Linked DNA regions of Coturnix japonica. The protein of the gene in region 1 interacts with the protein of each later gene in a pairwise test. Links are inferred from orthologs where the notes say so. Each region holds a gene or a part of one and is shown on either strand. Other genes may lie near its edges.

Region 1 (6,498 bases):
GAGATGAGCTCACTAATGAAAGTGAGATGAGAATGTAAATAGGGACCTGCAATGACACATAGTGACCAGGCATCACAGCACAGCTGGACTGGTCCTTCTAGCATGACGACGCCAAGTCATTGTAAATAGAGGCGACGAGAGCTGGGATCAGCTGAGCGTGGTGTGGAGCTGTCAGGAGCTGATCCTGCCCCACTGAGCTGTGCTGAGCAGCAGCGCAGCCAACTCTGAAACTGAAAGACGTTCAGAGGAGGGAAAGTGAAGCTCTTGTGAAAGTCTGTAGTAAAAGCTGCAGGAATAACTGCAGAGACCTCCAGCAATTTTCCTGCAATCTGCTTTCTTTGGTCTTAGAGGTTGTTCTTGTGTGTCTTGTGCATAGAGAACGGAGCTGTGCTATGGTTTGTGTGACTCTGAGTAGGGGGGGGCTGTGCTGTTCGTGTTCCAGATCGAAAGTGAGCACCAGAATCGATGTTTCCTGTTGATCTGTCATGTTGTGCTGCTTTGTTTTCAGCTGAGTCCTTCAGCTTTTGTATTCAATAGAAGCGGATGGAGTTGATCCACGTTCTTGTGCCCGAATGTTCATGTCAGTGTTTGCTGTGCTTCCCGTCCCGGTTTTTGATGTTTTCCTGAAACCTTCCACTGTAATTGCAGCCTCCACAAGCTGCGAGGCAGCGATGTAGCTGTTATAAAACATTCACGTGGTGCTTAACCAACAAATGAAAAATGGTTCTACAAAACTCATTTCTACTGTAATCTCCTCAAAGTTCTTAAAGGCCACACAGACTGCAGGAGGATCACGTGCTGCACTGCTGTCCATAGTGCGTTCTACCTGTTGGTGCGAGACCTTGTAAATCTTGCAGATGTGGTTGTGTCGTTACTGATGTTTTATGGCACTTTCATAGCTGGAGTCCTTTTGCCCACTTTAAGTGACCAATTCTCATCGATCTTACCTTACCTGTAGAAGTGACTTAAGTATATTTGTGGATCTCGGAGCATTCTGGAGCGTTCTGATTGTCTAGAAAATAAAACTCTCAGAGGGTTGCTTTGGCTTTGATTATTATTGTTATTTTGTAAGCATTGGAATGGCTGTGATGTGTTGCTGTGCAGCACAGGGCGAAACGAGTCCTGATGTCTGAGAAAACCCCCATTCTGTTCCATTGTGATCCCAGCTGCACTGGGTGAATTTCTGGGCGTTTCCTGAACTATTCTGAGTATTCTGAGCACTCGTATCAGGTTTAAAGATCTGATTTGTTTACTCGAGATATCACAGCATTTTTCCCCTAGTTTTAAAATTCTATGACCTCTTTGTAGCCGATGGAGAACCCTTAAACTCCTGCTTGCACTGATAAAACTGCTGAGCTCGGTGCCCTCTGGTATCGCCAGGAAAGCACCTGGTCTGTGCAGTGTCAGCTGGGTCGTGCAGAACAAATACCCACAATCTATTCTTTTCAGAAGGAATTTTTCAGTACAAGAACTATTTGGGATATGGAAGTGGGGGGAAACCATGATGTAGGATGTCATATACACAAGTGGTGCTGCTTAGTTGAACCGACAGGCACATGGATTATTGGCAGCCACTGTCCAGGGCTTTGTGAACTCAGGGATTGCAGAGCTGGGCTGTAACACCAGGACAAACACGAGTTCATCTGCCCTGTTGTCCTGCTCACAACAGCTGCCTGCTCTGTGCGAGGAAACAAGAGGCGTTTAGCAGCACTAATACCTGAATGCTCCTCTTACAGACATGGAGGCTTACAGAGGTGCATGGCAGGTAACTCACAGGTCTCAATAGCTGTACCCTGGTCTCAATAGCTGTACCCTGGTCTCAATAGCTGTACCCTGGTCTCAATAGCTGTACCCTTGCCTCGTGTAACGCTCACATTTCGCTTCCACAACTGCACAACAAGGAGCTCCTGTGCCTGCCTATGTCAGGTGAAGAACCACATCCTGCTGCTCTGTTGCTGCCAACCGCTATCGCTTCATTTGCCGTCACCTCCCCTTACACCAGGATCAGCAGCTGACAATCACTTCCTATTGATCCTGATGTGATTTTATAAATTCCCATGTATTTCACTTGCTTCATTCTTCCCTGCCTTGGCTGGCTCACGCCCCATAGGAATTCATGCAAAGCTGTGCTGGACTTTTGTCATCTCTCTGTTCTCTTTCTGAAAGAACACAGACACATGAAGGATTTTTAGTGTGGCCTGCACAGCAAAATTCGAAATGAGACAGAACTGAGAAAACAACAGAAGTTTATTAAAAAGGGGAATAAAAGCGGGGAAATACAACGATCCAACATAAATGGACGTAAATTGAATGTGAAGAGAGGAGAGACTGCGAGAATGAAAGTGGGGGAGGAAAAAGCCTTTAGGTGCCTTCCTGCTTCTGCTACGATGGGGAAAGGAACGTAAATTGATTCAAGATGGAATGTCTGAAGTTTATGCAAGGGAAGGTTGAAAGGAACCGAGGATACAGCTAAGGCAGAACATGGGACAAGGGATGATTAACAAATGAGGGTCAGGAGAGAAAAGACGCTGGTGGTAAGAAGAGGAAGGTGAAGGGTGTCAAACTTGGAGCGAGAGAAGTCGAGAGGTGGAGGTTGATTGAAGGCGTTGTGCTGCTTTTTCCAAAGACAACTGAGATGTGAAGGAAAGACATCGCATCTCCTCCTGGGGAAGCTGCAGATACGTTAAGGAAGGATTTGGGTCATTTGGGCCCGTGTTACACATAAAGGTGTGAGAAACAACCGGGACATCGCAGCCCCACCCGGACGGATCGTGTGTGTGTGCGGGACGGAAGCGGCGCGAGCTGCAGGGCGGTCAGACGTCGGGAGCTGCTGGGCTGTGGCTGCAGTCGGTGCGTTGCCCCTTTAATTGTGTCCCCAGCCCTCGGGCGTCCGTGTCCAACGCCCACGTCAGCAAATACCTTTTGTTTCTCTCCCGCTCGGGCTTCCAGGGCTCGGGGCTGCGGGAACGGGGCGCTGAGCGTGGCCCGAGCGGAGCCGGGGACCCCGCACCCTCCGCCCGCGCCTCCATCGCGACCGAGCGAGCGGCAGCCGCCCGCGGAACCCGGCGGTGAGTGGCGGCCGGGGCGGAGGGAGCCCGTGTGCGGGGCTGCGGGCGGGACGGCGCCGGGAGCCGCAGCCCCGCGGTCCGGCCGTGCCGCCGTTCGCCGCCGGGAGCCGGGCGGGCCGCGGAGCCCCGGCAGCGCCAACGGGCGCCATTGGCGGCCAGAAACCGGGCGAGAAGGAGAGAAACCGGGCGCGGCAACAAAGGGCGGCGCGGGAGCGGAGAGCGGGGGGGGAAGTGGGACTGAGCCGGGCGGGGCGGGCGGGGGCGGCTCAGGGACACGGCGGGAGCGGGGCGGGAACGAGCGGAGCCGGGGCCACGGGGCGGCGGGCGGCGCGTCCCGCACGGAGCCGAGCGGAGCCGAGGGCAGCGCCACGCGGGACGGCGGCCGAGGGCGCCGCTCCGTGTTAAAGCACCGGGAGCGGGGGCGGCGGCCCCGGGGCGGCATCGCGGCCGATACCGGGCGGCGGCTCCGCGCCTTGGCGGGCGGGCACAGTGCCGCCGGGCGTCACGGGCTGCCGGCGGCCGGTGCGGGCGGGGCGCGGTGAGTGGCGGCGGCGGCGGCCAATGGGGGCAGCCCGGGACGGGAGGGATGAGGCCGGAGCCGAGTTCCCGTTTCTGGTCCCTCGGGCGGGGATGGATTCGAGCCCGGCCGGATTCGGGCGGTGCGGGAACGGCAGCACCGGGCACAGGCCGCAGCTCTGCCGGTTCCCTCGGGCTCCTCGGGCTCCTTGGGCTCCTCGCCATGACGGTGAACGGCTGAACGGTGCCGCCGCGTTTCTCAGCCTCCATCTGAGGATGCTGCTGCTGCTCATTCGGAGCTCTGACATCGCTGCCAAACAGCACAGGCAGCCTCACATGGACTCGTTCCATCCTTTTCGAACAGCAATGCCTGGTGGTGGATATTGGGATATTTAATTCAAATATATTTGTGTGTTTCAATAAGATTATTTTTCAGAATATCCATTAAATGGGGTCTGCCGGCCTTGGCGAGCAGCGCAACGTGGAATTCACGATTGTAATTTGTTTTAATCCCTTTGTTTCCTAGAGCACAGCACATCTGCTTTGGGATGGAGATTTCGTCCCACCAGTTTCACCTCCTGGAGCAGCTCAATGAGCAGCGCAGGCAGGAGCTGTTCTGTGACTGCAACATCCTGGTGGAGGGCAAAGTGTTCAGGGCGCACCGCAATGTGCTGTTTGCCAGCAGCGGGTACTTCAAGATGCTGCTCTCGCAGAGCTCCAAGGAAATGACTCAACCCACCACCGCCACCTTCCAGGCGTTTTCTCCGGACACTTTCACAGTTATTCTGGACTTTGTGTATTCGGGCAAACTGTCTCTCACTGGTCAGAACGTCATCGAGGTGATGTCGGCCGCCAGTTACCTTCAGATGACCGACGTTATCAGCGTGTGTAAAACGTTCATCAAGTCGTCTCTGGACATCAGTGAGAAGGAGAAGGATCGATACTTCAGCCTCTCAGACAAGGAGGTGAATTCCAATGGCGGGGAGCAGCCGTGTCTGTACGGCGCGGGCTGGAGGGCAGAAAGCAGCCCCCCACATCCACAGCCAAACCCAGAGCAAGGGACGTGTATGAGGGGAAACACTTGGAGCAACTTCAACTACTATCCAGCTTCTCAAAGAAACACGCAGCAGCAGCTGTCCAAGCACGAGCAAAGGCAGGATGCCATAAAGAAATCCCGACACCCGGGACTGCAGCAACCCGCTGACATTCCACACTATAAATCCAGCAAACTGGAGGACAGGGCTGCTGAGCCTGCTGGCCACATTTCTCAACCTGAGGACCAGGTTCAGATTGAGGCAGAAGCGGAATCTCCTCACGTGGGGTTTCAGTATGGCCAGGGCTCCGATGTGATCTCCAGGCGCTCAGCCGTGTCGCAGCAGGAGCGCGACTCGCCCCGTCCTTCCAGCAAATCCAAGTCTCCAAAAGCAGACGAGCAGTACCCCAGCATGCCCTCCATTGTAGGTGTGATGGGAGGCTGGGCTGAAGGTAGGAGGGGGTCTCCGTGCTGTGTCAGTGAGAAACACACAGTGCTGAAGGAGCATTTACCAGAAAGGCTTTGTGTTTTCAGGGATGTAGGCTTGGAAAGCTGAGATCAACACTTGGAGAGTGATGAATGAGTGAAGTTGAGCTTTGCAAAGTACATATTCTTCATGTCTTAGAGCTACACAGTCACGATCGTTTTGGTTTGTTATTCTCACTGTAATGTTGCTGATAGCCCCGCTCCTTTTCCCTCGATGTTGTAATTTACACAAGAGCTGTATCTGAAAAGACCTACAATGTCTTTAAAATAGAAGCCATTTTCTGTTCTGTTTCTGTTGCTTTCAGTAACTGGAGTAACTAAACGACGGGTATGTTACGACTTCTTTTAAAACTCCAACTGTTTCCCAGCAGACGATCTGCCCAGGATGAGGTTCAAGTGCCCGTTCTGCACTCACATGGTGAAAAGGAAAGCAGACCTGAAGCGTCACCTGCGGTGCCATACAGGAGAGCGGCCGTACCCGTGTGAGGCGTGTGGGAAGCGGTTCAGCAGGCTGGATCACCTCAGCAGCCACTTCCGCACTGTACGTATTGTTGGTAACCGTGAGTTTCACTTGATGTGTGAGTCCATCTCAGTGTGATTAAACACAGTGCCAGCCTGTCTGGTTGATACATTGACTCCCGTAAAGAATAGGGAGTAGATAATTAACTTGGTTTTGCTTAAGTCCATTTGAAGCATAATTCCAATGAAAGAGGATGAGTTCCTTTGTTGGCTCACAAAGGCACTGCACTGCGTGAGGTCTGTAATGGGATGAAGTGCACAACTGGAGCTCCTGTGGATGTCTCGTGATTGATGTCTGACCGCTGCTCACAATGAGTTAATGCTGACATTTGATGGCACTCTAGCTTTACTTTTTGTCATTAAACGCTTCCTCTCTGATGCTGTATAAATGGATTCCTCTCAATTTTCCCAGATTCATCAGGCCTGTAAGCTGATCTGCAGGAAGTGTAAACGCCACGTGACGGAGCTGACGGGACAGGTGGTGCAGGAGGGGACCAGGCGCTACAGGCTCTGCAACGAGTGCCTGGCTGAAGCCGGCATCGACAGCATCCGCATTGACTTGGAGGCTGAAGCGCCCCTTGAATTTCCAGCAGACGGGGATAAGGATTCCAGGTGGCACTACGGGGAAGACAACAAATCCGATGTGGAGATCGTGGAGGACGGGTCGTCTGACTTGGTCATCCAGCAGGTTGATGACAGTGAGGATGAAGCAGAGGAGAAGGAAGTAAAACCAAATATCAGGTAGTTGTGAGACAAACACGAGTGCATGGAATTCCTTTTACGTGGAAATCCTGTCTGCCCGTGAGCCCTCCACCAGCCTGACATCTACAGAGACCTGCTGGCTTCTCTTGGACAGGGCCAGACTTGCATGTGTTC
Region 2 (6,507 bases), on another chromosome or scaffold:
AAGAAGTCTCTGAGAAAGAGAGAAGATGCCCTTTACCAACGCAGGACTTGGCCGACACTTCAGCAGCAGCAGCAACATGTTCTTTATTTCCAGCATTCATCTTCCCCATAGAACAGCATGGCAACCCAGGCTCCACGTGTTCTCCTCCCCCACAATCTCCCAAAGCAAATACAGCCCCCAAACACAGCAAAGAGCAGAACTGGTTCCTCTTAGGACCAGATCTCTGTAAGAATCACTGAACTGCTGCCAGGAGAACAAAAATGGCTGCTTCTGAGAGGGTCTGATGTTGTAAACTACTTCCTATGCTAATAAAAGTCATTTTGTAGAGCAAGAATGTCTGGCACAGGTGAATTAAGCTACAGGTCATCCAGTATTTCCTCATAGGGAGGAGCCACATCTTTCTGTTTGTTTTTAAATCCCAAGCTACACAAGACGCAATTAATTCTGAAGCCAGGAAAGGGGCAGCGGGTTCCTGTGGTGCTTTCGACACGACAGCTGACAGATTTAGCTGACACACCACAGTAAGTTTGCACTTGGCCCCTCCGTACCTCCACTCAACCGGCAGCTGTTTACACACCTCACTAGATCTGGAGGGCTCAGCCAAATCTTAGCTCAGAACAATCTCTAAGCAGCCTGCATCCCACTCGGGCTTCCTGTACTCTCCTCCCTGTGCACAAAAAGGGTGATTTCAGAGCAGCAGCTCCTGCCTGCGAGCCCACACTGAATGCTCACAGCTGCAGAGGGGAACCAGCAGCAGCTCTACCAGCACACAGCCCGGAGCAGCAGCTCTGCCAGTGTGCAGAACCACACAGCCCCACACCGCCCTGCCACGGCTGCTGCTATCCCAGAGCATGGGGCAGTGCACAACACAGCCAGCTGTGCTGGAAGCAACCAACAGACAGCGCACGCTGTGTGTGCAGCACGTGGGAGGGAGCCGAGTGCTACGACCGTGGCTGCAGAGAAACCACCCTGCCCCTCAGTGCCACCTCCCAGGGCCTTCTGAGGACCATGGAGAAGCTCTCCGCGGTCATTTCATACTCGCAAAGAAGACATTAAGGCTATTTTAAACCCACTCTTCTCTCACCCCTCAGAAAGGTCACTGAACTCGTCTTTTACCCGCTCATCCGACGTTGTAGACAGAACCTGCTTCCCACTCAACTGTCCTAGGGAACGAAGGAGAACAAGGAACGTTACTAGGAAAAGCAACGAAAAGGTCACTACTGCTCTGCAACCAACAGACGCCTTCCCCAGTCAGTTCCGACTACCTGTTCTCTTTCCAGCAGCAGACATATCGTCATGTGACTGCCGGAGCTAAACAGATCCCAGCTTCTGAAACTCAAAATCAGTGTTAAGCCCCATATTTTAAAAGACAGAAGAACGCAGCAGCAAACCTGTATTAAGGCAGCCCAAGAGCAAGGCTGCCTGTGCAGACAGAAACGGCTCCTGGGCCTCATGCTGCTCACATTGCCCTGCAGTCACAGCGGGGTGGGAAACCCCCCCCAGACTGACACATAGCCAGGGTTTGGATTGATCCCAAATAACCACCTGGCAAACAGACAGAATGGGACCGCTCTGTACAGCCTGAATGGTGCGTGTCCCAGGTGCGAGCAGGGCCAGATAGACACAGCCAGCTGAACAGCCACATCTCACCCCATCATCAGAAGGGAAAACAATGTGCAGAGGCAAGGAGACCAGCTTGGCTGCACGACAGCTGGGCCAGCCAAAGCTTCACATCCCCCTTCCCTCTGCAAGACTAGAGCTGATCCTCTGGGCAACCAGCACTTCTGAGCCACAGGTCAAATGCCCTATTAGTCCCCAAGGAGGGGCAGCCAGGCCCAGCAGCGCTCCCTGGGCAGATCTCTGTCTTACCCAGAGGCCTGGGGTGCGATCAGAAGGGAAATCCCTTACCTGTGGCACCGCTCAGTGGTGACACGGGCTGGGGCAAGGCTTTCTCCTGTAACGAGGCTGTGCTGTCCTGCTGAGAATGAGATGAATCCCTGTTCTGCGATGGCTCATTCTCCAACTTCAGTGGCACTGCTGCGGTCCCTTTGTTTGCGGGCTGCTGACAAGGAGTTGTCCTTACTGGAGCATGCTGGGGTTTGGGAGCAGGAACAGCCTCAGCATTGTCCGCCCCGTTGTCCGTCAAGCGCTGCGCCATGCTCTTGTTCCACTCCCGTTTGACAGCCAAGGCATTATCAACGAGCACTGTGCTACAGTCAGAATCCGTGTCCATGACGTAGTCGTGCCCGTCCCCGCAGCCCCAGACCGCACGGATGATCCCGCAGTACTCAGAGGACAGCACGCTCTGCAGGCTCGGCACCGACTGGCAGCCCCCGGCGTGTGCGTGTGCCCACGTCACCAGGCTGTGCAGGCACTGCGGGCTGGAGGTGATCAGGTCGACTGTTGGAAGGGGAGAAGCAGCAGGCACAGGGTCAGAGCCTGCAGACCCGTCCCTTCTGCACACCCACACTGAGGCACACGGCAGCAGGTGAGGGAGGCAGCCTACAGGCTGCTCTTTGCATCCCCCATATGCCAGAACCGCCCTCAGCACCCCTGACAACCAACCCTTCCCTGCTGCTCCGTGAGCAGCTACTCACCCAGACAGGAGGCACCTCCTTCCACACCAGGCTGGGCCGGGGCCGCACCGCTCCTGCAAAAGCCAGAACAGCACAGGTAGCATTAGAGGGACCATACTGAACACGCGGCCATTCATTCCTCCCAGCGACCACCAGGAGCACAGAGATGCAACCTACTTTCCTTTCGACTTGACGTGGCCGGTGGGGGACGCGTTCACCCTCTGAATGAAGGTCCTGAGGACGCTGCGGCACTTGTAGAACTGAGCGTGGCATTTCTTGCAGACAAACTGCGGCAGCGCTGGGTCCTGACGCACCGCGACCCCCACGAGCCGCTGGAAATCCGTGAAGAAAACCTGATCCACGCGGCGCTGCTTCTCCGAGTTCTCCCCCATCACAGGGACCTTCCCGAAGGCGTTGCGCAGGCTCCTGGATGAGAACTTGCCGTGGCAGAGGCGGCAGTACCCGGTGCTCAGCGCTCTGCCGACCCCTGCGAGAGAAGGACGGGATGCGGCTGCAGGAGCACGCAGCAGCTGCAGCCCGAGGGCGATGGGACACTGCGAGGCGACATCCCCGTCCTGTCATCCGAGCCCACGCTGCCGTCACAGCCCCGGCTTCAGCACCAGCACTGACCGGGAGCGAGACCTGCGTGACTCCGAGCAGCGCTGGGACCCCACAAACCATCCCCGTATGGCATCCCCGCCCTGTGCTGCTGCTCCAGACCTGGCTCCGTTGTTCTCAAGGCTCTCACACATCCAGCTCCCACCAACGCTGCTCCAGCTCAAATGCTCCTATTCCCCCTCCACTGTTTATGGTACGAACATGCAGCAGCCGCAGCGCAGCCCCGTGCTGCCATCACCGTGACGCTCCCACAGCCGCACACGGCACCAATGATGAGCTGCACACCGGGGATGGAGCAGCCGCTGCCCCATAGCACAGACCGACCGGCAGCTCGGCTCTGCGGGCTGTGTCCGTGCACTGCCCGGTGCTGGCTGTACCGGGACTCCCGGCTGCTCACAGCGCCGTGACGGCCCGCAGCGCCTCCAACAGCGCCCCGTTACAGCCGTCACTGACCGCACTCACACACACACACACACACACAGGCCGCGTCCCGCAGCTCGTTACCCCGTGTCGGTGCCGCTCATGTCGCCGTTCCCCCCGGTTCCCCCCGGTTCCCCCCGGTCTCTCGCTGCCCCGCAGCCCGTCCCGTCCCGTCCCGTCTCTCACCTCCGTCCGCCGCCCCGCCGGGCCGTGCCCATCCGGACTCCTCCGCCGCCACCGGTTCCCACCCCGCGGTCGGTCCGGTCCCGGTCTCCCGCTCCTCCTCATCCCCTTTGTCCCTTGGCCGCCCCCGTCCATCGGGTGATGCCGCCCCGGTGCCGCCCGTTGCCGCCAGGAACCGCCCGCGCCGATCGCGCTTCATCGCGGCCGCCCGGTCCCGCCGCGCCCCGCCCGAACGGCGCCCTCTTGTGGGCCGGAAGACCCGCCGCTGCACTTCCGGTTCGTGCCTTCCGTTTTGAAGTCCCTCCGGAAACACTCTCCGGCCGCACTTCCGGTTTCATCCCTTCGCTTTTTAAGTTCCCCCCGGGAACTCCGTGTCGCTGCTCTCTCCGTTCCGGCCGTGATGGCGGCGGCGGGCGGTGCTGGGGATGGAGCCGGGCCGGGCCGGGCCCTGCAGGGCGCCATGAGGGCGGCGAGCGGGGCCTTGGAGATGGACAGCGCGGGGAGGACGCGGGTGAGCAGCACGGCACGGGGCGGGGGGCCGTTATCCTACCGCATAACCCAGGTCTCGTGTCCATCCCCGCATCATCCCCATTGATGTCACCGCAGGACGCCTATATTCAATACCTGCACAGCATCGCCCTCATCTCGCAGGCCCTGCAGGACGAGGCGGGGCTCACAGGTAACAACCCCCCCCCCCGGTCCCTCCCCCCGCCCCTCGCAGGGCAGTGACCCCCCATATCGCAGAGCACAGCGAAGGGCTCGGCCCCGACACCCCCAAGATGCTGAAGCTGGCGGAGCAGTGTCTGGAGAGGGTCAAGTCCTTGGCGGCCACGCTGGGTGAGTAACGGCAGCACCAGCGGGACCGGAGCCTTCAATGGGCTGATGGAGCCGTGTCATCCCGCACAGGGAAAAACAAGGGCAAACCGAGCACAGCGGGGGGACCCGCGCCCATCTCCAGGCACCGCAGGGTTTTCTCTGACGAGGGAGGGAAGCTGTCACCGTTCCTGCCACCAGAGATCTTCCAGAAGCTGCAGATCGCTGAGGCACAGAGTGTGCGCAAGTGAGTGGGGCTGGGGGACAGCGAGTGCAAATGGACCACAGCACAAATCCTATGGGGAGGGGGGAAAGGAGGGGCAGGGGGACCACAGTGCTCCACTCAATGGAGAAAAGCAGGGCAGGGTTGGGCTCTTCTCCCAAGCAGCAGGTAGGTGCGGAGCTTAGGGACACGGCTTATAGATAGAGGTGGTTATGGATGTTGTGGGGTGAGTTTGTGGATCGCAGAGCTCTTCTTCAGCCTGGAAGGGTCCCAGCTGGCCAGGATGCCTGGCTCACATTGAAGGCCACCACAGTGTTCAGCTCATTCCCTGCAGGGAGCTGACGCCACTGGAGGAGGCATCGCTGCAGAACCAGAAGCTGAAGGCTGCCTACGAGGCGCGGGTGGCACGGCTCAACCCCAGCCAGGCCCTGCAGAAAACCTCACTGGTGAGTGGGGAGCTGGGTACAATGAGTCTCGCACTGGGACTCTGAGCAGGTGTCACCCACGTAGTGTTCATTGCTTGGCAGACGCTGTCTCTACAGCGGCAGATGATGGAGAACCTGGTGATAGCCAGGGCACGAGAGGAGACCGTATCCTTTCCACTAAGGGAGTGCCTAAAGCAGGGGACTTGTGTTTGTGGCTGTTACTTCATCAGCCACCTCAGGGCTGTGCCGGGTGAGATGCTGGCTCACTGCTGCGGCACTTCCAGTGCCTTAACTCTGCCATGGCCCAGCTGCAGAGGAAAATGGAGGAGCGGCGGCTGCGGCTGCAGGAGGCGGCCAACAGGTGAGGGCGGGGCTGGGGGGTCCCAGTGGGGACCGTGAGGGTGCGGAGCTCCCTGCAGACCCCTCACCTGGCACTGTGGCACTCGCAGGAGGTTCTCCAGCAGTGTGGCCCTAACCCCTGAGGAGCAGGAACAGAGAGAGCTCTATGCTGCCATCCTCGAGTATGAACAGGACCACGTGAGTATGCGCTGGAGGCTGCTGCTGTGGATGCTGTGAATGCAGAGGGCTGTGCTGGGAATCAGGGAGAGGGGCTATTCCCACTAACCTGCTGTGAGCACTCCCCCAGGACTGGCCGCGGCAGTGGAAAGCCAGGCTGAAGAGGAGCCCGTCAGACCTGTCCCTGGTGACGGGGCTCTTCTCCTGCCTCCTCAGGTACTGTGGGGCTGACAGGGGGCTGTTCACATCGCTGGAGGGCCACAGCACTTGCCGTTGTCCCCTGCTCACCCCTGTCCCTCTGCTTCCAGCTTCCCAGAGCACCCCATTGCCCAGCTCCTGCGCAAGCTGCAGTGTGCGGTGTACACTCGGCTGTACCCAGCTGTCAGCCAGAACAATCCCGAGGCCGCCCCTGCAGCCCCCATCGGCCTCGCCTTCCTCTCTCTGGACGCAGGGGGGCTGCTGCCTGCAGAGCCGGGGGGGCGGCGGCTCCGAGCTTCCCGCAGCCTGCACTGCATGTTCTCGGTGCCGGAGCACGGCCCAGCCACGCTGCGGCACAGCATCTCCGGAGCAACCCTGGCCGATGGCAGCTCCGATGCCTCCAGGGCAGAAGGGGAGCCCCGGTCTCCCCGGGAGAGCTCCTTTGAGGACCTGGAACGGTTCCTGGCATCGCCTGAGGACTGGCCCCCAGGAGAAACCACGGCTGGGCCCAAACCTGCAGCATCGCTGCAGGAGC

What was found. The genes of interacting proteins can lie anywhere in the genome.
Region 2: the proteins of zinc finger and BTB domain-containing protein 8A (region 1) and ZNF276 interact in binary tests that used the Homo sapiens proteins (3 or more experiments, as listed by UniProt). The two-hybrid records come from large-scale screens. The link is inferred for Coturnix japonica from reciprocal best matches to the Homo sapiens genes ZBTB8A and ZNF276.

Annotation. Positions count from the first base shown.
Region 1 is NC_029538.1:4,571,784-4,578,281, forward strand, and holds the start of zinc finger and BTB domain-containing protein 8A, read left to right. Parts: upstream 1-2,255; 5' UTR 2,256-3,068; intron 3,069-3,645; exon of another isoform or gene 3,646-3,993; intron 3,994-4,110; 5' UTR 4,111-4,132; coding exon 4,133-5,069; intron 5,070-5,471; coding exon 5,472-5,644; intron 5,645-6,034; coding exon 6,035-6,367; 3' UTR 6,368-6,498. UniProt on the Homo sapiens protein: May be involved in transcriptional regulation.
Region 2 is NC_029526.1:16,728,273-16,734,779, reverse strand, and holds the start of ZNF276 (zinc finger protein 276), read right to left. Parts: upstream 4,111-6,507; 5' UTR 3,997-4,110; coding exon 3,801-3,996; intron 3,064-3,800; coding exon 2,754-3,063; intron 2,651-2,753; coding exon 2,598-2,650; intron 2,401-2,597; coding exon 1,909-2,400; intron 1,164-1,908; coding exon 1,085-1,163; intron 10-1,084; coding exon 1-9. UniProt on the Homo sapiens protein: May be involved in transcriptional regulation.